7 linked regions of the Sus scrofa genome follow. The protein of the gene in region 6 interacts with the protein of the main gene of each other region in a pairwise test. Links are inferred from orthologs where the notes say so. Each region holds a gene or a part of one and is shown on either strand. Other genes may lie near its edges.

Region 1 (3,156 bases), on a different chromosome or scaffold from region 6:
TCCAGAGGGATGGGGCAGGAGAGCTTCTGGGGTGAGTGGTGCTGCTTGCGGAGGTGGGGGTGAAGGGGTGGGGATATAAACCCAGGGCCTGGAGCTGGGAAATCACCAGGAGGAATGGCCTGGGGAGCCCCCAGCAAGGCTGGTTCCCGCGCTTTGATGAGCTTTGCAAATGAAGATCTGAACTGATGGTGAGTAATGATGCCAAGATCTCAGCCACCAAGGAGGGCTGCAGGTAGGAGGTCCCACATAGGATTTTCAGTGAGGGGCCAGAGGGTCTGACTGGGAGAAGATATTTCTCAGAAGGCAGAGGCGATTGTAGGGGTTGGAAGGGAGAGCCTGAGACAAGCAAGAGTGCTTCTGCGGGTCTGGCTGTGCTACCGCTGATGGTGCAGAGAAGGCAGGTCCACTCTCTTCTCCCGGATTTGGGGGACCCGCGGGTGCCCCCGCTGCCGTGGGCTCCATCGCACAAGCCTCTTATTGGGTTGCGGACAATTAGACCAGGCGCCACTGGGCAGAAGGAGAGAAGAGCTGGTCTCAGCCGCCTGGCTTGGGGAGGCTGGAAAAGCTGAGGTTCTGGGAGAGCTGGCAGTGCCGGCGGAGCAGCCTGGGGAGGCAGGTCCGGGAGGCAGGTCGGGGTGGGGGGTAGGGGCCGGCCCGTGTGGCTGCGCCTCCGGCTCCTCGGGGCTCCGCTGCTGCCCACAGCTACGCGACCGCCGCGGAAGTCAGGGCTCGGGGCCCCCAGCGGCCCTGGCTCCGGAACGGGGAGCTGTCGTCGCCAGAGAGCGAGGACGCCGAGCTGCTCCCGCGCGCCATGGAGTCGCCGCGCCCGCAGGCCCCGCGCCGCCGCAGCTGCGCGCGGAACGAGCGGTCCAGAAGCAGGTAGATGAGCGGGTTGGCGCAGCTGTTGACGAAGGCCAGGCAGGTGGCGACGGTGAGGCCCCAGCGCAGCGCCAGCAGCAGGGGGCAGGGCAGCGGCAGCGCGCCCAGGCGCGCCAGGTGGAAGACGGCGCGCAGGGCGCAGAAGGGCAGCCAGGAGCCCACGAAGGCGCCCTCGACGGCGAAGATGATGCGCAGAGAGCGGCTCCGGGCGCGGCCCATGTGCGGCGGCCCGCGCAGGCGGTGCAACACTCGGCAGTAGCAGACGACGGTGACGGCCAAGGGCAGCGCCAGGGTCAGCAGCAGCAGCAGCAGGCTCAGGCCCTGGAAAGCATCGGACGGCTCCTCGCCGCACTGGCTGCCTCCGCCCCCGGGCAGCGGCCGCAGCCCGCGGAAGGCCAGCGAGGGCAGGCCGGCCGCCAGTGCCGCGGCCCACACGCCGCCGCACGCGGCCAGTGCGCAGCGCCGGGTGCGCCAGGCGCGCGCGGCCAACGGGCGGCCCACGGCCAGGTAGCGGTCCACGCTGAGGCCGGCCAGCAGCAGGGCGCCCGCGCAGCGCGTGCCGGCCAGCGCGAAGCTGCTGAGCTTGCACAGGCCCTCGCCGAAGGGCCAGCGGCCTCCCCGCGCCGCCGCCGCGGCCCACAGCGGCAGCGTCAACACGAAGCACAGGTCAGCGGCCGCCAGGTGCAGCACGAAGGTGTCCACGAGCCGCCGCGGGCCGCGCCGCTCCACCAGCAGCCGCACCACGAAGGCGTTGCCCAGCAGGCCCACGCAGAAGGCCGCCAGGTAGAGCGCGGGGATGTAGGCGTAGCTGTAGGGCAGGTCCGGGGCCGCGCACACCTCCAGCTCCTCGGGGGCGCCCGACCCGGAGTAGTCCCAGAACGCCGGCGCCGGGCTGGAGCTCCAGGGCTCCGTGGGGCGCATGGCCAGCGAGGCCTGGGCAGACGCGGTGCCGAGCGAGCGGGCAAACGCGGTGCCAAGCGCGGGATGGCTCTTCACGGCCGGTGCCCAGCACCTCCCTTCCTGCCACCTCGACCGGAGCGACTGGGTGGGCAGGAAGGGGTGGGGGAGGAGGAGGTGGGGAGAGGGGGAGGAGGGGGAGAAGGGGGGGAGAAGGGGGGAAGGGGAGAAGGGGGGAAGGGCAGGCCCCTGTGGCGGAGACGTGGCTGAAGATTTGGGGCTGGCCTCCCGGGCAGGGCGGGCTTCCCAGCTCGGGGTAGGGTGGGTGGGGGGCCTTGGGGAAAAAGTCCTCAGGTCTGGGAGGTTGGCCTGTCCCTCCCTCCATCAGTCGCTGATGCCTCAGGGGTCTGACGCTGGTGCAGGAGGCTGGGAACGCCCCAATCCATCCCCATTCCCACTATCTCTCACCCCTGTTCATGCTGCTCCCCATCTCTGTGAGGAGACAGGACCCGGAGCTGTGCCAGCTGGGCACAGTAGATCGGGTGGGGGGAGCCTAAACCCCCCGGGGCCTACCTCCAGTCAGGCTCTAAGGGGTGTTGGCCTGCAGAGATGCCGGATTAAATGTCTCAGTCCAGAGCTCGGCTTTTCTGACCAGGGCAGGTTCTCGTGGAGCCAAAGGGAAAGGGTTTTAAGCTGAAGAGAGAGCGACAGCCTGTCTGGAAGAAAGCTGGAATTCAAATCCCAGCGGTTCCCTGACTCCCTCCATCCGCCAAAACCTTCCTGTGGAGCCACAGGCAGATGTGAGCTCAGTATGAAAGAGGACAGAAGATGCCTGACTCAGCACCTGAGGTCCCTCTCCGACATCTGGAGTCGGAAGTCAGGCCTCTCAAAGAAGAGTGAGCTGCCCTATGGGCTGAGAGGCAGGGGAGGGTTCAGGAGGGGGGTGGGGGTGCAGACTGGCCTTGAAGGAGCCGGTGGGCCCAAGGAGAGTTTGGAGGCGGGGTGCCCACTCTTCTTAAGTGGTCGTCCTCCCATGACTGCTGTTCCGGAACTGATGTGACAGTGTGTGTCATCACCAGGAATGAATGACCCCTTGGGCAACCTGGCGTTACAACTTTGAAGCGGATTAATTATCTGTTTTGTTTGATTCAGTCCTTAATAGCCTCACCATGTGGCAGGCACTGTTTGGGGTATCTCGAGAGCGACAGATGCCCGTTTTTTGACCTTGTGGGGGCAGTGTCACTGATTCAGCAGAGGAGCTAGATCCAGGTGCAGGATGCCTGTTCAAGGTCAGCCGTGCTGTCGTGTTAATGGTCCTTAGGGAGCTGGGAGGAGGGAGTAGCTGCTTCTGGATGGGAAGAGGGAGTCAGAACCTCTCCC
Region 2 (3,500 bases), on a different chromosome or scaffold from region 6:
AACTAGAAATTAGTGTTTTTAAAGGAAATGGAAACTAGAGTAGGTATAAAGAATACAAAATCTGAATATGCACTGGTAACATCCAAATCAATTTAAATCAATAGTGTAACAAGCAGAATTAATAGGCACAGTCACCTGAAACTGCAAAAATAGCACAGTACCTGCAGGAGACTTTCTATGGCATGAAAGCCTCGAATTAAATTCAGAGCTGCACATAAAAGACTAAGGATAAATGCCACAATCCCTGACAGAGTTGCTGGTTCTAGTCGCTGGTGAGCTGGGGGGAAAAAAAAAAAAGATTAGAAATGAACATCAACGTCTCACATCAATACTTACGCTTAAGTAAAACGAAATTTACTGCTCAATTTAAACAAGTTACATATAGATGAATCTTCATAAAATTATTTCATAATGCAACTTAGAAATAAAAATTTTTTTAAATGCAAAACGTCTGACATGACAGCTTTATTCCTCTGAACTCAATTTAAATTAACTTCTTTTTCTCTACATTTTCAACAGACACCTAACTTGCATTTGGGTATACAGTGCTAAGGAGTGCGCACACCTGGCAGTAAAAATCATATAAGAAAAAAACATACCGCCTATATATGTCTACCACTTGCAAGCAGATGCAAATATTTGCAAAGATGGCTTTGCTTAGAAATTCACTGCATAATTCCCACTTTTCTGAAAATGCTTAGAAAACATTTTAAAGGACAAACATAGCTTGCTTTTTTTTTTGTCTTTTTGCCTTTTCTAGGGTCACTTCTGCAGCACATGAAGGTTCCCAGGCTAGGGGTCGAATCAGAGCTGTAGCCACCTGCCTACACCAGAGCCACAGCAACACAGGATCTGAGCCGCGTCTGCAACCTACACCACAGCTCACGGCAACGCCGGATCCTTAATCCATTGAGCAAGGCCAGGGATCGAACCCGAAACCTCATGGCTCCTAGTCGGATTCGTTAACCACTGAGCCACGACGGGAACTCCCAAACATAGCTTGCTTTTAAGCAAAGCCCTTCTTTATTTGGGTTCCAGGGTCATAAATACCATGGGATATATGTGAAAGCACACACACACGCAATCGGGGTCATAAATACCATGGGATATGTGTGAAAGCATACACACACACACACACACCCAATCTGAACTCTACAATAGAATGGACTCTTAGAAGGTTCCTGGTCTCCCAACACCACTTGAAGATAAAAATGCTAAAACAACAGTTTAAGTAGTGACTAGTTTATTTTACAAACACATTCCCCTATCTACCAGGGCTCTGCAGCAAGACATTTAGCTATATAAGAGCTTCTCTTCATCATTATCTTGCAGTTAACAGAATCAACCATAGAGTCTAAATGAAAACACAAAACTAAATACGTAACCATCGAGACCTCAAAAGGGAGAGAGAGGGAAAGAGAAGACAAAAGAACTACATTTAGATCATTTTATTTAAATCACTGAAGCGTAAAAGCTCTAACAATGAAGTTAATGAGGTGGAGCATTAATATAAGGAAGGATTTAAATCTCTGCAACTTATATTCAAAGCAGAAAAGCTTTCCGAAACAATTCATAAACAGAAAATTCCACATTTCACAAAAAAGTATTTATTCTTTAAGTTCAGCAGAAAATGCTAATAGAAAATCATAAAAAAAATATACATATGTATATACATGTACGGCTGGGTCACTTTGCTGTATAGTAGAAATAGAATACTGTAAATCAACTATAATGAAAAAAAATCATAAAATAAAAATGAAGAAAGAAAGAAAATGCTAATAGAGGATAACATTCTCTTAAATTTTTTTTGTGCCCAAGCTTACTGCTTGGTCTCCCAATCAATTTCCTTTAGATTTTAAAGTGAAAACAAAAAAATTAAATGTCTTGTAAAGTAATGATACCAAACTTTCTATCACTAGAGAAAACAAATCTCACAATTTAAAAATCTAGTTCTCTTATGGTGCAGTGGGTTAAGAAGCCAGCATTGCCACTACAGTGGCTTGGTTCACTGCTGTGGCATAAGTTCAGTCCCTGGCCTTGGAACTTCCACATGCCAAGGGCATTGCAAAACAAAACAAAACAACAACAACAACAAAACACACCTAACTGATCTACCAATTAGTCATGTTTTAAATCCCTCCTGCCATCCTCCCCTACCCCTCCTCATAAGGGGGAACTGGCCTCTAAGTAAAAAAGAAATCTTTAGCATGGGCCTCAAGTATAAAACCATCTGATAACCGAATAGATTATAGAAAAAGCACTTCTAAAGTATACGAGGTTACCTTACAAAAAGGCCAAATAATATTCTGTATTAAAATTAAAAACCTTCACTTTTTACTAAAATTAAAAACCTTCACTTTTTATGGTCAAGTAAAGGATGCCCATTCTCTCTCCCTCTCTTTTTGCTCTTTTAAGGGCCGCACCTGCAGCATATGGAGGTTCGCAGGCTAGGGGTTGAATCAGAGCTGTAGCCACTGGCCTACACCAGAGCCACAGCAACATGGGATCTGAGACACATCTGCGACCTAGACCACAGCTCATGACAACACCGGATCCTTAACTCACTAAGCGAGGCCAGGGATGGAACCCAAATCCTCATGGATGCTACTCAGGTTCACTAACTGCTGAGCCACAAGTAGAACTCGAAGGATGGCCATTGTTGAATGGAAAAATATTACCATTTTTATGTGTTGATGAATACCTATTTAAGAAATAAATAATATGTCTATACAAATTAAATATTTACTAAGTTTCTAACACTTGCCTCTTGCCCTTAGAGCACTCTCTCCATAATGACAGTATACAATGTATAAATTATTTCAAAATGACCAGAAGTATTTTAAAGCCATGAAAGCAAATGACAAGTCTTCTTTAACAAGGGCAAGGCATGCATTAGGACAGGCTGGAGATGTGCCAAATCACTTCAAGAAATAAAATCCTCAAGTGGAGATTCCCTGCTCCCATCCGAGCCCTTTCTTGGACCAGAGGGTATGGTTACCAAGAAAAATCTGCACACAGTGAGGGTGACACTTCCTAAGGACACTTTCTCATTTTAACAAACTGAATGAGATATTTAATCACACTTTAATGTATTACATTATATATATTTTTTTTTCACTAAAACAGATCTTAGATTGTTATCCACAAATACTTCACACTTCAATGTGGCACCATGGTAGGTACTGTTAGGTAGAGCAAATTTGGAACAATAAGACATGAAGAAATGAGAGGCAATGTAGAAAAAATAAAATGTATAGAATCCAAAATAGTGTCACCATGGAGTTCCCATTGTGGCGCAGCGGAAATGAATCTGACTAGGAACCATGAGGTTGCGGGTTCTATCCTTGGCCTTGCTCAGTGGGTTAAGGATCCACCGCTGCCGTGAGCCGTGGTATAGACACAGCTTGGATCCCATGTTGCTGTGGCTGTGGTATAGGCCAGCAGCTACAGCTCCTATTAGACCCCTAGCCTAGGAACCTCCATATGCCACAGGTGCAGCC
Region 3 (2,887 bases), on a different chromosome or scaffold from region 6:
CCTGGCCTCCCTCAGTGGTTAAAGATCTGGCATTACCATGTTGGTCAAAGATGGGGCTGGGATCTGGTGTTGCTCCATATGCCCTCGAGGGTAAAAAGCTCAGAAAGTGCTCAGGAAGGGGATGCTGTCATTATCATGACCATATTCTGCTTCTTTTCCTGAGTCCTCTTGGAAGGGGACACACAAAGCTCAGCCCCAGGGCCAGGCAGACCCGGGGTCAGCCCCAACTCCACTTCCTAGCATTGTAGGACCCTAGATGGAGCCTTCCCTGCTCTGGACCTCAGTCTTCTCATCTGTAAGATGGAGGTAGTAGCCATTCCTCCCACTGAGAATGGTAGTGAGGGTCAGAGGGAAGATGTCCATTAAGGCTCAGAACTGGGCACCCCTTCAGGGTGACCCTAGGTAAGGGGTAAGGGTGAGTATTAGTTTATTAGTGTAAAGGACCCAGCATGGTGTCCTGCCAATGGTAGATGCAATAAGTGGAAACTATGCTTCTTATGTTTATTTATTTTAAATCATTTAATACATGGCCCTGCTACCTGCTCTTCCTTTGAAAACCCAGACTTTTCTTCTAGCCCTGTGTTTCACAACAGATCCCTCAAACCAGCCGAGAGCATTTGCTGTTGCTCTGTTACCTGTGTGGTCCCTGCCTCCCCTGGGTCCCAGGGTCCCATTTTGAGGCCTCGGAAACATGTGACTGACAAGTCCATTTTGTCCAGCAAGGGCTCCTTTTATTCATTCCAGGGTGGGTTTTTGAAACGTGGTGTGCAACTTTATAAAGTCGAGGGTGCCAGGAAAGTGAGCCTGCCAGGTGCGGAAAAGTGCAAGAAGCTTGCAGAACATCCCGGCCCAGTAGGTGCTCTCAGCTCGCCTCTGGCCACGGCTGCTGGCCCAGTAGGTGGACCTCAGAATGAGATCAGGGTACCTGGTCCATCCGAAGCTCGGGACCACGTCCATCCATCCTCCTCGAGTACAAGACAGTGCAAGATGATCTGATGCTATTTTTTTCGCACGGGATCACAGAATCGGCTCTGCTTGGCATCTCTTGGCCTAAGAAGCGTTCTGGCCGTGCAGGAAGGGTCGGGCCGTGGCTGTCCTTCCAAATTCCAGGGCATTGCCAGCTGCCTCTGGTCCTGCCAGCCCAGCCTTCACACAGGTGTCTCCTCTGCCACTTTCTTCAGGAGTCCAGCGGCCAGCGGGGAGTGTTGGGTGCCCTCAGAGCCATCAGAGGTCCGGATCTTCAGGCGCACTTTCTGGTTGGTTCTTCTCCATTCGGAGTACAGCTGGCAATGGTAGCGGAATGAGACCTGTGGGGCATGGCAGAGATGGGAGGGAGGGCCAGCCACCAGCCAGCCTCCACCCACCCTGAGAGCAGAAAACTGGGCCCCTGAAGCACCTGCCTTGACCCAAACCAGGGCCAGGCTCCCGCTTCCAGAAGTCCAGGCACATGGCACAAAGACAGTGCACAAATACTTATTTACTCTCCCTGGGAACCTCCCCACTGCATTCAGGGCCCTGCAAAGTGGAGAGGCAGAGGGTCTGCAGCAGGGGGTGGGTGTGGGGGAGGAGCTCCCTTTCTGTCTCTCAAGGTGGCAGTGAGGCAGTGAAGTGATAGAGTCTCTTGGGTTTTGGGTTGTTTTTTTTTTTTTTTTTTGCTTTTTAAGGCTGCACTGGCAGCATATGAAGGTTCCCAGGCTGGGGGTCAAATCAGAGCTGTAGCTGCTGGCCTACACCACAGCCACAGCAATGCCAGATCTGAGCCATGTCTGTGACCTACACCACAGCTCGTGGCAACGCTGGATCCTTAACCCACTGAGCCAAGGGATTGAACCTGCATCTTCATGGATCCTGGTCAGGTTTGTTAACCACTGAACTATGAAGGGAACTCCCAGATAGAGCCTCTTGGAAGGGGCCAGGTGTCAATGGGTCACATAACTGCCAAAACTTGGAAGCAACTAAGATGTCCTTTAGTAGGTGAGTGAATAAATAAACTGTGGGATAGCCAGACAATGGAATTTTTTGGGTTTTGTTTTGTTTTCTTTTTTCAGCTGCACTCCTGACTTATGGAAGTTCCCGGGCTGGGGATCGAACCTGTGCTGCGACAGAGGTGATGCCAGTTCCTTAACCCACTGTACCACAGTGGGAACTCTCAGACAACCGAATGGTATTTGGTGCTAAAAAGAAATGAGCTACCAAGCCATGAAAAGACATGGAGGAGCCTTAAATGCATATGACTGAGAGAAAGAAGCCAATGTGAAAAGGCTATAGACTGCATTATTCCAACTTTAGAACAGTCTAGAAAAGGTAAAATTATGGAGACAGTATAAGGATCAGTGGTTGCCAGGGGCTGAAGGATGGAAGGATGAACAGGCAGATCACAGAGAACAAGTTTCAGGGCAATGAAAATTTTCTGTATCCACTCTAGTGGTGGATACATTATACATTTGCCTTTTTTTTTTTGCTTTTGCTAGGGGTCAAATCAGAGCTGCAGCTACCGGCCTATACCACAGCCACAGCAACTCAGGATCCAAGCCATGTCTTCGACCTCACAGCCACACTGGATCCTGAACACGCTAAGCGTGGCCAGGGATCAAACCTAGGTCCTCATGGATACCAGTCAGATTTGTTTCTGCTGAGCCACAGTGGGAACTCCTATACATTTGTCTTAAACCCACAAGTTGTTCAACACCAAAAGTGAACCCTTGGAAGTTCCCTGGTGGTTCAGTGGGTTAAGGATCCGGTGTTATCACTGCTATGGCTCAGGTCGCTGCTGTGGGGCAGGTTCAATCCCTGGCCTGGGAACTTCCTCATGCCACGGATGTGGCCAAAAAAAAGAGGAGTGAACCCCTAATGTAAACTATAGACTTAGGGTGATAATGTGTCAATG
Region 4 (3,500 bases), on a different chromosome or scaffold from region 6:
GGAAGGCTACCTCTGAGCCTGCCCGCCACCTGTCAGTCAGCCTATGCTGGGGTCGCTGCACTGCCCATTCAGGGCTGGAGGCCGGTGGGCCCTGTCTTTGGGGTCCCCTTCTGCCTCCTCCACCCCCACTGTTTCACTCACTCATCCAGACCCTCATGGGTCTGACTCAGCTGCTCCTCCAAGTGTGAGATTTCCAGCCTCAGTTCCTGCAAAGGAAGGAGTGGGGGCCCACTGGCTCTCCATTCTTCCCCATTCCCCCACCCCCAGGCTCCTCTTTCAAGGTCAGCAGCAGTGAAAGTATCGAATCCCAGCCACCAGACCACCAGGGAACCCCCTCCCTTGACCTCTTTGGGCTCCTCCAAACACCAAGGGAGAAGGGGAAGAAACAGCGACAGACACTTAGGAAGCCAAAGAGAGGCAAAGAGCAACAGGAACCCTGAAGGTAACCTACCCTCCAGGAAAATTCAGAAAAGAAGGCAGAGCTGGAAACACATGGAAAATGACACAGATGGAAACAGATTCACAAAGAGGCAAGAGACACAGGGGGTATAAGAGACTCTAAAGACCAGAGACAGAGAGGGGAGTCACCCCAGGAGACAGACAGACTAGACCCAGGGAGATGCAGAGACGAGAACCTAAACAAGCCAGGCAGAGATAAAGAAATAGGAGGCTGTGGTGAGAATTCACCCCCAGAGAATGCAAGTGGCTGAGTTACGGAGATACAGAGAGAGAGAGAGAGAGAGAGAGAGAAAGGAAGGGACCGAGGAAAAGTGAAAAGGCCAAGCGACGAGAGGGGAAGACACACAGTCAAACAGCAGAGACAGTAAAAACAAGACGTGGAGACTCTGAAAGAGACTGACGGAGACAGAAAGAGGCAGCAAACCCCAGAGACGGCAAAAGAGAAGTGGGGGGAGTGAGGCCGCCGGTGGGTTACCTGGGTTGTGGTTCTGTACTCCTCCAAGGTCTTGGCCAGACTCTCGGCATGGCGAGTGCGCTGGGAAAGGCCAGAGCTGACTGAGACTGGGCCTAGGCCACCAAAGGCTGGTGCTGGGGGGGAGGGGTCTGGCAGGGCGGGCTTGGGGGAAGAGCTAGGGCCTGAGGGACAGCCCCGGTTTCCCGGGAAGCCCTCTGATCTCTCCGGACTGCTATCCAAGGATTAGAGCCAAGCAGGACTTCTCTTTTCAGACTCCAGGCAGGAGACACACAGAAGGCAAATGTTTCTCCCCCAGACCCCTCACCTCGGAGAGGATGGCATCTCGTTGGCAAATGAGGCGTTCACACTCATAGAGCTGCCGCTGCCAAGGCAAGAGTCAGTCTGTCTGTCTGGCCTGCCCTCCCTGGCCCGCCCTGCTCTCCCAAACCCCTCTCCTCAACCCCCTCCATGTCTCTGGACATCAGCCACACTGAGGGGGATTTCAGCTGGTTTGCCCATGAGACCTGGGAACCTGATGGCTTGATCGAAGTCCCTGCTCTCTCCAGGGGCGGTGGGAAGTTGTCAAGGCACTAGGGAGGGGTGGCACCTTCAAAGCATCCTTTTCGGTGGCCAGCTCCTCACTCCTCCTCTTCACTCCATCACACTCAGCCAGCAGCTTCCCGTTCTAGAAGAAAGCACCCAGGTTACATTTACATCAGCAAATGGCCATGTTAATACTCTATTGACATGGAGTGTCAATATCGACATCTACTGAGCACTTGATGTTCACTGGGCCTCATGCTCATCTCTTTATATGTTGTAGCCTATTTAATCCCTCCATCCAACCATCCTATGGGATCCCAAGTTTGACTTGCAGACGGAGTTGGTCCTCTCCCTGCAAAAAGAGAGATACAATAGGACGCATGGGGTGGCTGGGAGGATTAAATAAGCTAGTAATTATTGCTAACATTTACTGAGCACCTTGCCAGGGTTAGCTTGTTTCTTATCCCGTATTTTATTTTTATTTGTCTTTTTGTCTTTTCTAGGGCCGCACCTGTGGCATATGGAGGTTCCCAGGCTAGGGGATGAATGAGAGCTGCAGCCGCGGGCCTACACTGCAGCCATAGAAACTCGGGATCTGAGCCTCATCTACGACCTGCACCACAGCTCATGGCAATCCTGGATCCTTAAGCCACTGAGCGAGGCCAGGGATCAAAACTGCGTCCTTATGGATGCAAGTCAGATTCATTTCCACCTAAGCCACGATGGGAACTCCCTTATCCCCCATTTTAAAGATAAGGATAATTGACAGAAAGGTTGAGGAATCTGGCCCAGGTGGGAATTCATAAAAATACATGTTTCTGAATGTTAATGAGCACAAAGCATTTGGAATAGTGCCTGACATATACCAAATGTTCATTAAATGTTACATATATATATATATATATACACATATATATATATATATGTATTTTTTCTTTTCTCTTTAGGGCCACACCTGTGGCATATGTAAGTTCCTGGGCTAGGGGTCAAATTGGAGCTGCAGCTGCTGGCCTACATCACAGCCACAGCAATGGCTAGGTCTGACCTGCATCTGTCACCTACACTGCAGCTTGTGGCAACACCAGATCCCCAACCCACTGAGAGAGGCCAGGGATCTGCATCCTCATGGAAACTAGCTGGATTCTTAACCTGTTGAGCCACAAAGGGAGCATGTAATATTAAAAAGATATATCCCAGTATATGTTATATTAAAAAGATATTTCTAGGAGTTCCCTGGTGGCTTAGTGGGTTAAGGATCCGGCATTGCCATGAGCTGTGGTGTAAGATGCAGATGTGACTTGGATCCTGTGTTGCTGTGGCTGTGGTGTAGGCCGGCAGCTGCAGCTCGGATTCAATCCCAGTCTGTGAACCTCCATAAGCCGCAGCTGCGTTCCTAAAAAGCAAATAAATAAATAAATAATCCCTTAATATCATCACCCACTCAGTACTCTTTCCGTTTTGGTTATCTAACAAATATCTTTGCACTTTTAGTTTGTCTGAATGAGGATCCAAACAAGGTCCACCATAGCTTTTGTTTGAAATGTCTCGTTTCTTTTCATCTGACGGTAACCTCCCAATTTCCCAATCCTGGCACTTCTTCATTTGTGGAAGAAACCAGGTTTTTTTTCCCTGCAGAACTGGCACATTTGAGCTTGGTTCACTGCCTTCTTGTTTCCTGTGCAGGATGTTCACCGCGTTCCTCCCACCTCATTATTTCCTATAAACTGATGGGTAGATTCTGGACCTTGTCTAGACTCTTGTTCAATATTTCTCTTGTTCAGTTTTTTGGCAGCAAGGTTTCATGGGTGCTGCTATATGTGTCATGCTGTGCCATTCAGGAAGAATGTCAAGTCTGGCTGTCCCAACTGCTAATGTTTACACTGTCATCATCCCCAATTTTACAGAGGAAATGGTGCAGTGGAGGGGCTGAGGTCAGATAGTAAGTGGACTCAACCCAAATCTGATTCCAAGTCTGGCCCTTTTAACTCCCAGACTCTCCTCTGAGCTAGATGCAGTGCTGGGTGAGAAGGGGGAACTGGCTTCA
Region 5 (4,229 bases), on a different chromosome or scaffold from region 6:
ACACAAGGGCAAGTTTCTTAGCTAAATATGCCCCTCAGAAATTGCCACCCAAAGAAAAGCTGGGGGTAAGCCAAATTCATGACAAGAAATCTGGGCCCTAATAGGTTGACATATTTTACTCTCTTGGGCCCATCAGTACTCCTCAAATCAACCTATTAAGTATCTTTGCATTCAATTTGCATGTAGGGCCAGCCTAGATTAAGATGATAGTAAATATGAAGAGGATGGGGGAGGGGCAGGGATTGCTACAGTGGTTGGTTACACTAGAATTTTAAGTACCTTCTGTGTGCACAGCATATGAATAGTGTTTCATTGTTTATAAAGTGCTTAAACATGTTTCATTTATACAATCTGGTGAGGTAGGATATTGCCATTTTATAAATGAGGATGTGGAGCCTTAGAATTTGAGTGCAAAGTCACATAGCTGGTAAGCAGAAAAATAAGAACATCAAGATTTCTGCCCAAGCTTATCTCATTCAGCTGTACTATCTCTTGTAGTGGTTTTCAACCACAAAAAATATTTGAAAAGTGTCTGAAAATATACATGCTCAGGTCCCATTCTCCAGAAATTTGTAAACTAACTGGTCTTGGGCAGAGCCAGGAATCCATCCATATTTTAAAATGCTTCTCAGGTGATGCTAACATGTGGCCAGGTTGCAAAATACTGATTAGATAATCAAGATCTCTAAATGTCATCTTAAGAATCTTTCTTGGGGTATATACAAGAAGTACAGAAGATGAGGGAAGCCAGAATTACAGTCACTTGTTTCAGTATATGCTGCCAGAATTTCCAAGTTCCTGTTGAGATGTTTTAAATGCCTCACTAGTACTTCTTGGCTTTTTTCTTTCTTTCTCTCTTTCTTTTTTTTTTTTTTTTTTTTTTTTAACTTTTATGGAAATCTCCAAAGAACATATGAAAGTCAGACACAAAAGTTTACTAAAAGTCACCTACATAAAAGTGGTTTTCCCTCAGAGGAAAAAAAAAAAGTTAATTACAAAATACCCTGCACCAGAATAGGGTCTCATTTGATTGGAACTGGCAGTGGCAGAAAGGTGGACTTCTCTGGGTATATTTCAGTATCCTATGAAATTTGTGAGTATGGTAAATTATCAAACCCCTAGACAATTGGGGAAAATGACCAAAAAGTTCATGCATTTGTTCAAAAAACAAATACATATATACTGAGGACCTGCTGAGTACCAGGCTCTGATGTGGGATTCAAAATAAATAATGAGTAAGCTGCCATCTTCCAGGAGGTTGTAAACTGCTTACATGAAGGGAGTAGTCAACACAACCAACCAGACCTGAATGCTCTCATCAAACAAGGGCTGGATTAATCACTGGGCCACCCCAACTAATAAACAAGTCAGTTCCATGATTTCTATCAACTTAGACATCTCAAAATTCTAAGCTCCAAAGGAAACGTCTGTCACTTTGGAAGGAGGCCTACTCTTGGGGGATGTGTGTTCTGGGTGGGGCAGATCCAAACAGCATTTAATTGGGTATATCTCATTTAAGCGAGGCCTTTCATTTAACACCTTCCAGTTGGACCTTCCCTCAGTACAAAGAGCTGTACCTCATGCTGAACAAGGGGACAAGTGGTCTACTGAAAGGTGTAGGCAACCAAACATGCATTATTAGCCTGCAGCATTGGCTATGCTGGGAAGTTATGTCCTGGTTTAGGGGGAAATGTGGATTACCGATCCCCAAAAACTCTTGATAGAACCCACGGACTAGAATATGAACAGCAGAGGGCGGTGCAGCCGATTTCACAGAATTTTACCCCCTGGAGCCCCCAGGAGCTGGCCCCAAAATAAGATGAAACTTGCTCTGTGAACTCAACGAATAGTAAAATATGCTAAGTGTTCAGGGTTGGACTCATGGCTGTTTTCCATAACCTCTACTTTGGTCTGACCGTTAAAGTCCCTTGCGGATACTCTTGACCTTACAGCCTGGGGTGGGGATGGGATGGGGGAGTTAGGAGAAATGTAATCAGCCTATCAGGCTTTCCAAAACAATGCTTATCTTGGAATAAGTATTAAAATTGGAGGGGGATCACTCCCCAGGAAAAGAGTCTGGTTCTCCTTGCCAGTGACATCACTGACAAACACGTTACAACAAAGTTTGGGGGGAGGGGAGAAGAGTAAGAAAAAGAAACTAATTCTGTGGGTTAATACGAACCCCTCTCACTTCTCAACGGCGTTCGAACAATACTACACGGCACTCTTTAAGTTTCGCTTTAGGTCTACGCATCCAGGCCACCCGCTCTGTCCTCTCCCACGTATGGGCTCCAAACTTTCTGCCCCTCACCCGGCCCCCAGGCCGTGGAACTCCTCCCAGCACGCCGGGCTCCGCTTCCGAAGAGCCCCGAGGCTGGGCGCGGCAGGGCCGGAGCGAGAGTCCGCGGCTCGCGTCCTCCCCCAAGGTTGTCCGTACCTGTCCAGCATCTGCTGTAGGGCTTGGTCCGGCATCTTCCGCTGAGCCGGCGCACTCGCCTCCCCAGTGGGCCCGGTCAGGGCCGGGCCCAGGGACAATAGCACTGAGAGGCGGCGGAGTAGGCCTCAGTCCAGCGGCCGCCACGAACCCGCCAGCCAGCCTCCCGGGGCGGCTCCGCGAGCCCAGCGGTGGCGGTGCGCGGCCCGCGGGCGCCCGGAGGAGGCGGTGGGGAGCGAGGAGGAGGAGCCTGGGGCGGGGAGGCGGCGATCGCGGCCCGGGTTCCTGCCCGTCGGCCCGGGGTTCCGGTCCATGGACCGCGGGCGCCGAGTTGCTGCCGGCGGAGGAGCTACCTCTGTGAGGTAAGAGTCACCGCCTCCGTGCGCGCCGGGGTCACGACGCAAGGCGGCCCAGAGCAGCCTGGGAGATGTAGTCCTCGGACCGTCCCCGCTAGAGGCTGCACAGCCTGCCCAGACCACCGCCGCTGCGCCCGCCGCCGCCCGGCCGGCGCCCTCCCGTTTCCTTCCTCCAGGGGGAAAAATGTCCTGCGGGCCGCTTTCCAGGAAGCAGCAGGATGTGCCGCTCCACTGTCAGTAGCATCAAGGTCAGCCCTCCCTGCCTGTTTCTTTTCTCTCCGCTTTTGCGCTCAGGTGGGACCGAGCCAGGTGAGGGGTGGGGGCTAAAGAGCCATTTCTCAGCAGGGTCCCCAGTCCTGGCCGCGGCGTCCGGGCGGGCCGTGGCGGGGGTGGGGGTGGCAGAAGCGCCTTCTGAAGCTCTCGGCGCAGGGGCCAGCCTCTGCCGCATCTGAACCCATTTTGGGGAATTACACAACCCCCGCAAAGGGTCGGATGCTCTAGTGTTATTCCTGAGGGGTCAGGAGGACAGGGGCTGCCGTGACCAGATGGTTCCCACCCGAGTGTGTATGTTTGCCCCGGGGGATGGGGTGGGGGAGAGGGGAGAGGGGAGGTGGGATTGGGGGAAAGATTATTTTCTCCCTCTCTAGGAACCTTCTAAATGTGCCCGGGCTTTCAAGGGCTCTCCGATAGTCTCCAAATGGAACATGTTCGTGAATAAACAGCTCTTGCTTACTCAGCTGTGGGTTGTCAGGGGTGTTTGTTTCTCTCTCTGCTTCTGGTCACTGTTAACCATTTATAGGCGCCTTGACACCTCCAGGCAGGTGGATGGATGGATATGGAGGTGGGGGGGAATCAAAAGGGAAAAATCATAAATCGCTCCTTGGGTTGTTCTCTGATGTTCTAGGGACAGCTTTGGCGGGAGGAAAGGAGCTGTTGGTTAAAATGAATGCGTCTTTTGGACGACCTGTGGCGTTCTTTAGTGCAGTGATTGGTACGACGTCTGGTAGTTTTCCCTTGATTATGTCTAATTTCTGCCGCAAGAGGCTTGATTTTTTTTTTCTTCAAATCAAAATGTTTTTTAAGCTCTTTTTTTTTTAACGTAGAATTTTACAATCAGCTCTTAATTCTGTTTAAAGTTTGCGTCCTGAATATATTTGAACTAGAGTGTACATTGCCAGGAAGAAAAACAAAAATAACATGTGACTAGAAGTTTATTTGGCCTCCAATTTCTGAAAGATACTTTTATGAAAGGCTTTAGAAATTTACATGACTAATTATAATTAATGCTTCCGCCTTTTTTCTCATGAAATGAGAAGCAGGCCCTTGATAGGGGAGAGAAATAAGTAATTTAGGGTGTTTGATATTGTGAATGCCTATTTATTGCTACTCCTACTGTGTTAAGTCCCTTGCTGTGTGTTTATCTCTTAAGCAATTGTCAG
Region 6 (4,053 bases):
ATTTGTTAAAAGTGTACTCCTTTGGTTTGAAGAGGTAATATTAATTCATCAGAGATGAACTAATTCCCTCAACCGCCCCTCCCCAATCCCATCCCACCTCAGTTTCAGGGCATGCGTAGCTTACTGAAGCCTGAGCTAGTGGAGCCACTTGATGTGGCTTCAGCCTTTGAACACCTGAAGCCAATTCAACGTTTATGGCTTCTTTTCATTCCCAAAGGTCTGTGACCTGGGACTTCTTTTTATCTTTATTCATTTGTGGCTGGAATCAGTTCCGTATTTATTATACCCCATTCCCTAGAAGACTCAGATCTCCTTCCTCCCCAATGGGGCCGCCTTTGCCGGATAGCATTTGCAACAGTTTAACAGTCGTGTTTCTAAAAATTGCCCTCATCCAAGGTGAATGCAGCTGGCAGAATCAGCCAAACAACAAGGACTCCAGTGATTTTTCTAGAGGAGTCACGCGTCCCCCTCCCTAAAATGGCCACCATTTTTCCTAGAACGTTTCCTCAGAAGGTGAACGAGGCTTAAGATGCACTGCAGAACAATGGGACTCAGGTGATTTTCTAGAACATCAAGCCTCCCTCCCTCTCCAACCAGGTTGCCTTCCCTCAGTAACCATTTCCAGAGTCTAAAAATCAGGTTTCTAAAACTTTCACTCAACTACAGTGAAAGTAGCTTAAAGGATTGGCTACAGAGCATGAGACTCACATGATCCCCATCAACAGGCCGGTTGTCCTCTTCTGCAACCTGGTTGCCTTTTCCAAGTAACTTTTGCAACAATATAGCCACCATATTTCTAAAGCTTTCCCCCACCGGAGGTGAATGTAGCTGAAAGGACTGGCTACAAAATGATGGCACTCAAGGACTCACTTCATTCCCTAGAGCTGCTCCAAAATGGCTGCCTTTTCCCAGTATCCTTTGCAACAGTAGAAGCACCATTTTTTCGAGAACATTCCCTCACTCATATGGAGTGTAGCTTAAAGAATTGGCTACAAACTGCTCAGATGCAAATGACTGGATTTCCTAATGGCCATGGAGCATAGCAATCTCACTTGCCTGAGTCTTGTCCCATCCCTAAGATATACAGATGTACATATGTTTATTTGTACGTATATCTCATTTGTATATGCTTATATATTTTTATATTTTATATACTTCTACATAGAAATGCATTTATATACAGGAATAAAAACAAAATATAAGATATATTGGGAAAATACAGATATATAGATATACATATGTGGTGATAAATACAGATGTATTTATTTATTAATAAAAGAAAGTGTTATTTCACACACTTTAGAGTTGCACAGAATACGGTATATGTGTACTCCCCAAGCAATGTGTAATTCAGCATTCTGTACTTTCAATACTGAATTCCTAGCCTAACAATAAATAGTCCTGACCTCTTGTTGGACCATGTGGCCCTCATTTCCCTGCCTACTGCACAGGAGCTTCCTCTCTCACCCCTAATTCAACATCTGGCCTTGCTTGACCTCACCATCTTCAGACTTAGATCCCCTATAGCTGCTACTCTCAAACCCAACCATGTACCAAGGTCCCCATATAGTACCGTTTTCTTGGACTTGTTGGCAGCCAAATTCCAAGCTGCAGCAGAATCGGAAATCTTTGAATCCAACTTCTGACGGCTCTGAGAAGCACCCAGGGACCGGATTCCATGCTCCAACATTTCTAGGGAGAAAAATGGAGGTCCCAGGAACACACATACAGCTATACCAAAGCTTCATGGGCACAGGACACACCGGAAAAGGGACAAGAACTTCTCAGGAATCACCAAACACCCATTCACTGATATCCACTGGCCAAACCCATGTCTCAGTTTCTTCATCCATTCAAGATGTAGCAGGTATTTACCGAGCATAAAGCTCTGGGCTACATGACTAAAGAGAGGACAACGGCCAGGAGATAAGATGACAGCAATCAGGAGACTGACCGTGTATTTCTAGGGAGAATGAGGGTGGCAGAAAATACTCTGTCCATGTAGATTCAGATCAATAAAAACAAGACAGAAAGAAGGGGCTACGTCTAGAAAAGTCAGGAACAACACTACGACACAGACCTGAAAGAGTCCATCCCTGAAAAATCTAGAGAAGCCTGCAAGGTATATGGAACAGCTATAGCACAAGGGCTGTGAGGCAGAAACAATCTTGGGATGTACAGTAGGCCAGCAGGCCACATAGGCAGGAAACAGCAGGAAATACATGGAGGAGGTGACCTTGATCAGATCTTGTAGATCATGGTAAAGACTTTGGATTTTACTCTAAAAGGCAGGAGAAGGTATTGGAGAGTTAGGAGAGAGAAATCATTTGATTGATCTTGTAAACTGAGCCTTGGGAATGTTTTGCAATAGACACCTCCCTCATATCATCAATCCCTTTCTCTCCAACTCCCCTGTCACTCAAGCCAGAAATATATGTGTACGTGAACCAAGGCCACCCACACACGTACCCCCAATCCATGCATCAACATACATGCAGATATGAGTATCTGCCAAGCCACTCATGCACAGTTTCCCACACACACACTCACACACACACACATACACACACACACACACACACACACACAGGTGCAGGCACTCAAGGGAAGGTCCATTTCAGGGGCTCCTCACCTGCTATCAGCACTTGCTCGCGGCTAGGCTCCTGGCTTTTAGGAACCAGCTCTTCAGCCAAGGACATTTCTATCTTCTTGGTGTTAGTGGAGCCTCCTGCCATCACAGCCAGCTCTTCACTTGTAAGCGGTGGCCAAGGATGCACAGAGAGCAGAGCACGGAGGACGCTCTGGGAAAATCAGCTCTTTGACGGGTGGGAGCTCAAGGATATATCTGGACATGGGGGTGGAGCCAGACTCCCCCTCTGCACTCAGGCCTTGGACCCAGCACCTCCTGTTCCTGCTGTATCTTGCTGGCTGGGTTCGAGGCTTTGTTCCCTGCTACTCTGTAAGTAACTTAGGGGAAGAGATAAGGCTTGGAACATTTGTCTGTGAGAACCTCCCTGGTTCTTGGGCCACCCAATTTGGTCCCACAGGGGCACGGGCAGGCTCCACGCTGCATCAATTCTAGAAAGAGGTGGGGGGGGGGTCAGTACCCCAGAGCCAGTTTTTGGCCAAAGCAAAGTTACATCCCGGGTCTGTCATGGCTCCTGCAAGGCCGTCTCTGGCCAGTAATCCACCCCCCTCAGAAGGCATCTTCTGTAGAGCATGCCCTGCCTCCCCTCCAGTCCAGAGTTCCCAGGCAGGGCAGATGGCCTTTTGAGGCCCTGGGTCAGACTGCACAGGAACCCTTAGGGCCAAAGGAGGGAAGGCAAGAGAGTAGGGACCTGCCTACAGCCCCTAGAGCCCAGTTATTCCATCAAGCACTAGTCTATGTGTTGCTATCAAAGTCTTTTGTAGCTGTTGTCCATACCTACAATCAGCGGGCTTGAAGTAAAAGATGGGCCTAATCCTCGATGGTGTGGGTAGGCCTCGTCCAATCAGTTGAAGACCTTAAGAGAAAAGAGGTCTCCCAGAGAATTAATTCTGCTCAAGACTGCAGCATCCACCCTGAAGATTCCAATGCGCTGAACTGCCCTGCATATTTTGGCCTTGCTAGCCTCACAATGGCATGAGCAAATTTCTTAAGATAAAATTTTCCAGACACTCACACCCACATGCATATGTACACACACATACACATATATGTATCCTATTGCCTCCATTTCTCTGGAGACCCCTGCCTGACGCAACCACCAACGATGAGCCCCCAAGCCCCTGGGGGAAGAGGAGGCTATCTTGTTAAAGAAACCCAGCGAGCTCCAAGGAGGAAGAGGGGAGGGGGAGAGGAAGGGAGGAAGGAAAGGGCAGGGAGAGGAAAGGGAGGGGCCAGACTCGTTTAGAGAGGGTGGCAAGACCTGGGCTGCCTGACCCCCTCCCCAGCCCCATCTGTCCAGCGTGGGGAGCAAGCTCTCTGGATCAGATAGGATCAGGTCGGAGCGGACAAAGGCCCTGCCTGCATTCCTGAGGGCCCTGGAGAAGTGCCTCCCGGCTCCAACAGAG
Region 7 (3,987 bases), on a different chromosome or scaffold from region 6:
CTCAGCTCCAGCTACCTTGGAAAGACACAAGGCAGGTAGGAGCCCCAGGGAACCAGCTGCGACTGCACCTGAGGTTGGGGCCTTTCAAAAAAGGGAAAGAGCCCGAGAGCCTGAGAGGGAGACCAAGGGACTAGGGATGCGTGCAGGAGGGGAGACACACTTCCCAGGTGCCCGTGAACTGTAAGTTACCTTGACGAAGCTCAGAGGGGAAAGCACATCCATGAAGAAACTGCTCCACGGGTCTTCAAAGGCAGTGTCAGAAAGGAGGCTCATGATCCCACAGTTCATTTCCTGCAAACTGCCCATCCCAGGTCAGAGGCCTTCCCCCGGCCAGGAGGGCCCTGCCTCTGCCTCGGACTTTTAGTCCTGCCCTCAGCTGGCCTCGGGTTCTCGTGACGGTGGTCTCCCCTCCCCTGGCTGATGATGGGCAGCCCCTTGCCCTTTATGACCCAGGAGAACAGACGCTGCATGGCCCTGACGCAGCCTGAAAGCTCCAGGCCTTCAGGCCCCAGAGCAAGGGTGTCCAGGCGACAGCGGTTCCCCACGGGGACAACTTGGGACCGGTCGGGCTTACCTGAGCTCAGACACAGGGGTGGCGGACGGGCCCTGCAGACACCTACCCAATGACATACACGTCCAGATTCAGGTTCGGGGTGTGCAGCTGGAGCAGATCACTGAGGTCTGGAGGGGGTGCTGCAGAGGCCACGTTCCACGTCACGACATGTATGCTGAGAAGGGAAGCCACGGAGGAAGGAGGATGAGATGTCGTCCAGGTACCAGACCGGGGGCTGGGTGGGCGAAGGGCTGCACCACAATCCCACAGTCGGCGGAGTCAGAATGGGAAACGCATGTTTCTGCATCTGGAGGAGGGCACAGGGCCCCTTCACCTCTATCCCCTGAAGCAGGAAATTCCCACCCTGGATTGGCTCCTCTGTGTAGGCCCATGGCTGCCTGTGCCTGGCAACGCCAGTGCAGAGCTGCCAGCACACTAGGAGAGCTACCAGCGTGGCCCAAAAGTCAGGCGAGGGAAGGGGTGGCGATGGGGTGGAGAGTCCAGAGATTTATTAATTCCACCAGCCCTTCACACCTCAGCAGTCATCTATGGGTCAGTCAACTTCCAGCTCCCCACCCTTCAATCCATGGGTTCCGTCCACCACCAGAGAGATTCTGGAGGTTTCAATTTTCACCTTGTGAGATGGCTTAGGACTACAAGACAGAGGAATTTCAAAAATAACAGAGATAAAGACACCACATTTCCTTCCCACTCCTTCCTGGAGCATAACCAATTCTGCCAAGCATCTCAGAGAGCCTAAGAAGATTCCAAATAACAAGTTTCTCAACATCTCAAGAGTCTAGCCTCTTTTGGGAAACGTCATCAGCTGGATAACATTTTCCATGTTCATACAAACACTTGGGAAGCAACACATCGAATCAGAAGCTCTCAATAACACTGGATCCCATCTGAGGCTCCGGGGAAGGACAGACTCGCAAATCTCTTCATTTGAAGAGTTAAAGCAGCGCTCCCAGGAAGCCTCCAGACTGTGTGGAGTACAGGGCAGGCAGGGGCTACGAACCCTGCAGAGACCAATTAGAGCCACCAAGCCTCAGGTGACTCCTAGGCACATCACAAGGAGGCGAATCTCTAACAGCAGTCGACCCATCGTGGGGGGTGGGAGAGAAGGACAGAATGTCCCTAACATCTCTTCCCCACCAGACGCTGTTCTTCGAGGTCCATGTTCTAAAAAGCACAACTGCAAGAAATTCTTGGCCAGCGTACAGCAACTTCCTGCCCCTCCCTACGAACATCAACAAAACAATACAAAAACCACCTTCCCAGGCCCTCGGCCAGAGATTCTGTGCTTCGATTGTTTACGATCTCCCCCTGCTGTCCAACGGAGGAGGAAGGAAGGCAGCCCTTTCACTGCAAGGCTCCTTGTTCTTCCAGGGGCCTGCTCTAAGTGCATGGAGAGCCAAAGCCGGGATTTTTGGTTCCCACTTTTACGAAGGACGATTAGCAGCAAATCCTTGCATCGTGACCGGCTCTGAGCTGGTGATTAGCGTTGTTCCTCGTTAAAGAGCAAGCATGGGACCAGGCTATTATCACTTCACTAAAGGATGTTATCCAAATCTGATTTCGGATTTCAGGAGGTCACAACGGGATCAGGCAGACCCCATGATGTATGTGCTGATCCAAAGAATAAGATTTCTACTCCAAAGCTAAGGAGTGAATGCTTTGTTATGTTTTTAACTTCAAACAGCTCAACACTGCTGCCTCCTCAAGAAGCCAACTGGAACACCTACTTGGAGCCCCCAAGAGGGAACGAGCTTAGCAGCCTAAGTTTGGAGGGGGCGCGAGGTTCAAGCCCAACATAGCCCTCTCGTACCGACCTGGGAGAATGTGGGAGGCCTCTGAATTAGAAGCAGCCCTGTAGGTCTGGCCCCTTCTCTCCCAGTCTGGTTCTGCCCCAGATCCGCAGCCCCAACTGAGTCGGAGGCAGTGATTCCGCCCGGAGCAGGCGGGCCTGCCTGTAGCCGCCTTCCTCACCTGAGCGTCCTGCTTCTCGGTTCGGTCTGGGGGTTCGTGGCAGCCATCGTTCCCACGCGGTGCCCCGGCTGGTTCGCGTCTCCCAGCCTCAGCGGATCCTGGCTTGATCTGTCCCGATCGGGTAGCAGGTGCCGGTCAGCTCACTCGCTCGATTGTTTTTCTTCCGGATTCCGACCCTCCGCCTCGGCTTCCGTAAGAGGCGGGGCCTAGGCGCACGGAAGGCTCTGGGTGGCGCGGCCCGGGGGAAGAGGCGGGACTCTCCAACGAGCGCGAAACGGTGAAAGGCGGAGGGGAAAGGGGCCAAGGGGACGCGGGAACGCAAGGGGCGTGTCCTCCTGTCATCAGAACCCGACGCAACACTGCCCCGCCCGGCGGGGGCGGGGCGGCGATCCAGACACCGCCCCCGCGGCTCCCAGGGTGCCTCGCGTAAGGCCGGCCGGGAGGAGTCGTCTTCCGGCGGAAGTCGCTGCCACGCCCAAGCGAAGCTCTCCTGCGTGCCCAGGCTCACTGTTACTGAACGTGGTCTGGGGCCTCGGTCCTCATCGCTCCGTCCAGGTTCTCAATGCCCAGAGGGGCGAAGGGGCGCAACCCAGCCGTTGTCGGCCTATATAATCCAGTCCCCCACCCCCCCGCCCCCGTTACAGGTCATCTCTCCTCTTGATCACTGAGCGCCTCCATTCTCCACTCCCATGTTCAAGTGTTTCCAGCTTTTCAGACTCATGCAAACTATTACACATTGGACGTTTAGGGGCTCCTGAACTCCGAAAGTTACCCATCACTGAATGAAAACTAAGTCGCTGCCTCTGTTTTACGACCAAACGTGAATATTTACTGTGCCAAAGATTAACTATGATTTCCTTCAAATCACTGGTTCTTAACATTTGGGAGACGGAGGGGTGGGACAGTGCATGGGATTCCTTTGAAGACCTGGTGAGAGCCTGGTGTGACTGGTGTGACCTGGTGTGACTTTCCCCAGAAACATGCACACTTTTACAGACAAGCTTCATGAGATTCCCAGGCCCAAAAGCCAGGGTAAGGGCTCTCTTAAATAAATGTTTTGCTTGGTAGGATGGGAAAGGGGCGGAATGTGAAGAGGGAAGACAAAAGCGAAAAGGAAATATTGCCAGCAGAAAATGGTCAAGTTACATTCAGATATGGGATATCTGCATAAATAAAATAAGGGGATGTTTTAATTTACGGAAATAGACCTGCACAACTTTTCGGAGATATCCTGTACCTTTTCTAGTCCTTCCTTGGTAAAATGGGGGATGTCAGCCAGAGTTGGAGAATATCTAAATTGTAAAATGGACAGAAGGACATCACCAATAAGCTGGACTCCAGAAAGCTCTGTCTAGGATTTTATTAGACTGCTTTTTTCCCCCAATATATCTGTATTGGAAGATTGAGACAAAAAGGCACAAACTCACATGAAATAAACAAGG

The links.
Region 1: the proteins of FATE1 (region 6) and GPR25 interact in binary tests that used the Homo sapiens proteins (3 or more experiments, as listed by UniProt). The two-hybrid records come from large-scale screens. The link is inferred for Sus scrofa from reciprocal best matches to the Homo sapiens genes FATE1 and GPR25.
Region 2: the proteins of FATE1 (region 6) and SEC22A interact in binary tests that used the Homo sapiens proteins (3 or more experiments, as listed by UniProt). The two-hybrid records come from large-scale screens. The link is inferred for Sus scrofa from reciprocal best matches to the Homo sapiens genes FATE1 and SEC22A.
Region 3: the proteins of FATE1 (region 6) and MARCH2 interact in binary tests that used the Homo sapiens proteins (3 or more experiments, as listed by UniProt). The two-hybrid records come from large-scale screens. The link is inferred for Sus scrofa from reciprocal best matches to the Homo sapiens genes FATE1 and MARCHF2.
Region 4: the proteins of FATE1 (region 6) and CCDC155 interact in binary tests that used the Homo sapiens proteins (3 or more experiments, as listed by UniProt). The two-hybrid records come from large-scale screens. The link is inferred for Sus scrofa from reciprocal best matches to the Homo sapiens genes FATE1 and KASH5.
Region 5: the proteins of FATE1 (region 6) and MARCH5 interact in binary tests that used the Homo sapiens proteins (3 or more experiments, as listed by UniProt). The two-hybrid records come from large-scale screens. The link is inferred for Sus scrofa from reciprocal best matches to the Homo sapiens genes FATE1 and MARCHF5.
Region 7: the proteins of FATE1 (region 6) and INPP5K interact in binary tests that used the Homo sapiens proteins (3 or more experiments, as listed by UniProt). The link is inferred for Sus scrofa from reciprocal best matches to the Homo sapiens genes FATE1 and INPP5K.

Annotation. Positions count from the first base shown.
Region 1 is NC_010452.4:23,367,965-23,371,120, reverse strand, and holds GPR25 (probable G-protein coupled receptor 25), read right to left. Parts: upstream 1,920-3,156; 5' UTR 1,801-1,919; coding exon 703-1,800; 3' UTR 501-702; downstream 1-500. UniProt on the Homo sapiens protein: Orphan receptor.
Region 2 is NC_010455.5:137,195,199-137,198,698, forward strand, and holds part of SEC22A (vesicle-trafficking protein SEC22a), read right to left. Parts: intron 278-3,500; coding exon 162-277; intron 1-161. UniProt on the Homo sapiens protein: May be involved in vesicle transport between the ER and the Golgi complex.
Region 3 is NC_010444.4:70,861,678-70,864,564, forward strand, and holds the end of MARCH2 (E3 ubiquitin-protein ligase MARCH2), read right to left. Parts: intron 1,308-2,887; coding exon of another isoform or gene 1,284-1,307; coding exon 1,149-1,283; 3' UTR 501-1,148; downstream 1-500. UniProt on the Homo sapiens protein: E3 ubiquitin-protein ligase that may mediate ubiquitination of TFRC and CD86, and promote their subsequent endocytosis and sorting to lysosomes via multivesicular bodies.
Region 4 is NC_010448.4:54,490,489-54,493,988, reverse strand, and holds part of CCDC155 (protein KASH5), read right to left. Parts: intron 1,599-3,500; coding exon 1,521-1,598; intron 1,296-1,520; coding exon 1,239-1,295; intron 995-1,238; coding exon 935-994; intron 207-934; coding exon 142-206; intron 1-141. UniProt on the Homo sapiens protein: As a component of the LINC (LInker of Nucleoskeleton and Cytoskeleton) complex, involved in the connection between the nuclear lamina and the cytoskeleton.
Region 5 is NC_010456.5:103,869,879-103,874,107, reverse strand, and holds the start of MARCH5 (E3 ubiquitin-protein ligase MARCH5), read right to left. Parts: upstream 2,801-4,229; 5' UTR 2,473-2,800; coding exon 2,438-2,472; intron 1-2,437. UniProt on the Homo sapiens protein: Mitochondrial E3 ubiquitin-protein ligase that plays a crucial role in the control of mitochondrial morphology by acting as a positive regulator of mitochondrial fission and as an important regulator of immune response.
Region 6 is NC_010461.5:123,104,833-123,108,885, reverse strand, and holds the start of FATE1 (fetal and adult testis-expressed transcript protein homolog), read right to left. Parts: upstream 2,801-4,053; 5' UTR 2,736-2,800; coding exon 2,633-2,735; intron 1,693-2,632; coding exon 1,574-1,692; intron 1-1,573. UniProt on the Homo sapiens protein: Involved in the regulation of endoplasmic reticulum (ER)-mitochondria coupling. Negatively regulates the ER-mitochondria distance and Ca(2+) transfer from ER to mitochondria possibly implicating it in the regulation of apoptosis.
Region 7 is NC_010454.4:47,735,741-47,739,727, forward strand, and holds the start of INPP5K (inositol polyphosphate 5-phosphatase K), read right to left. Parts: upstream 2,801-3,987; 5' UTR 2,593-2,800; coding exon 2,546-2,592; intron 729-2,545; coding exon 621-728; intron 299-620; coding exon 190-298; intron 1-189. UniProt on the Homo sapiens protein: Inositol 5-phosphatase which acts on inositol 1,4,5-trisphosphate, inositol 1,3,4,5-tetrakisphosphate, phosphatidylinositol 4,5-bisphosphate and phosphatidylinositol 3,4,5-trisphosphate.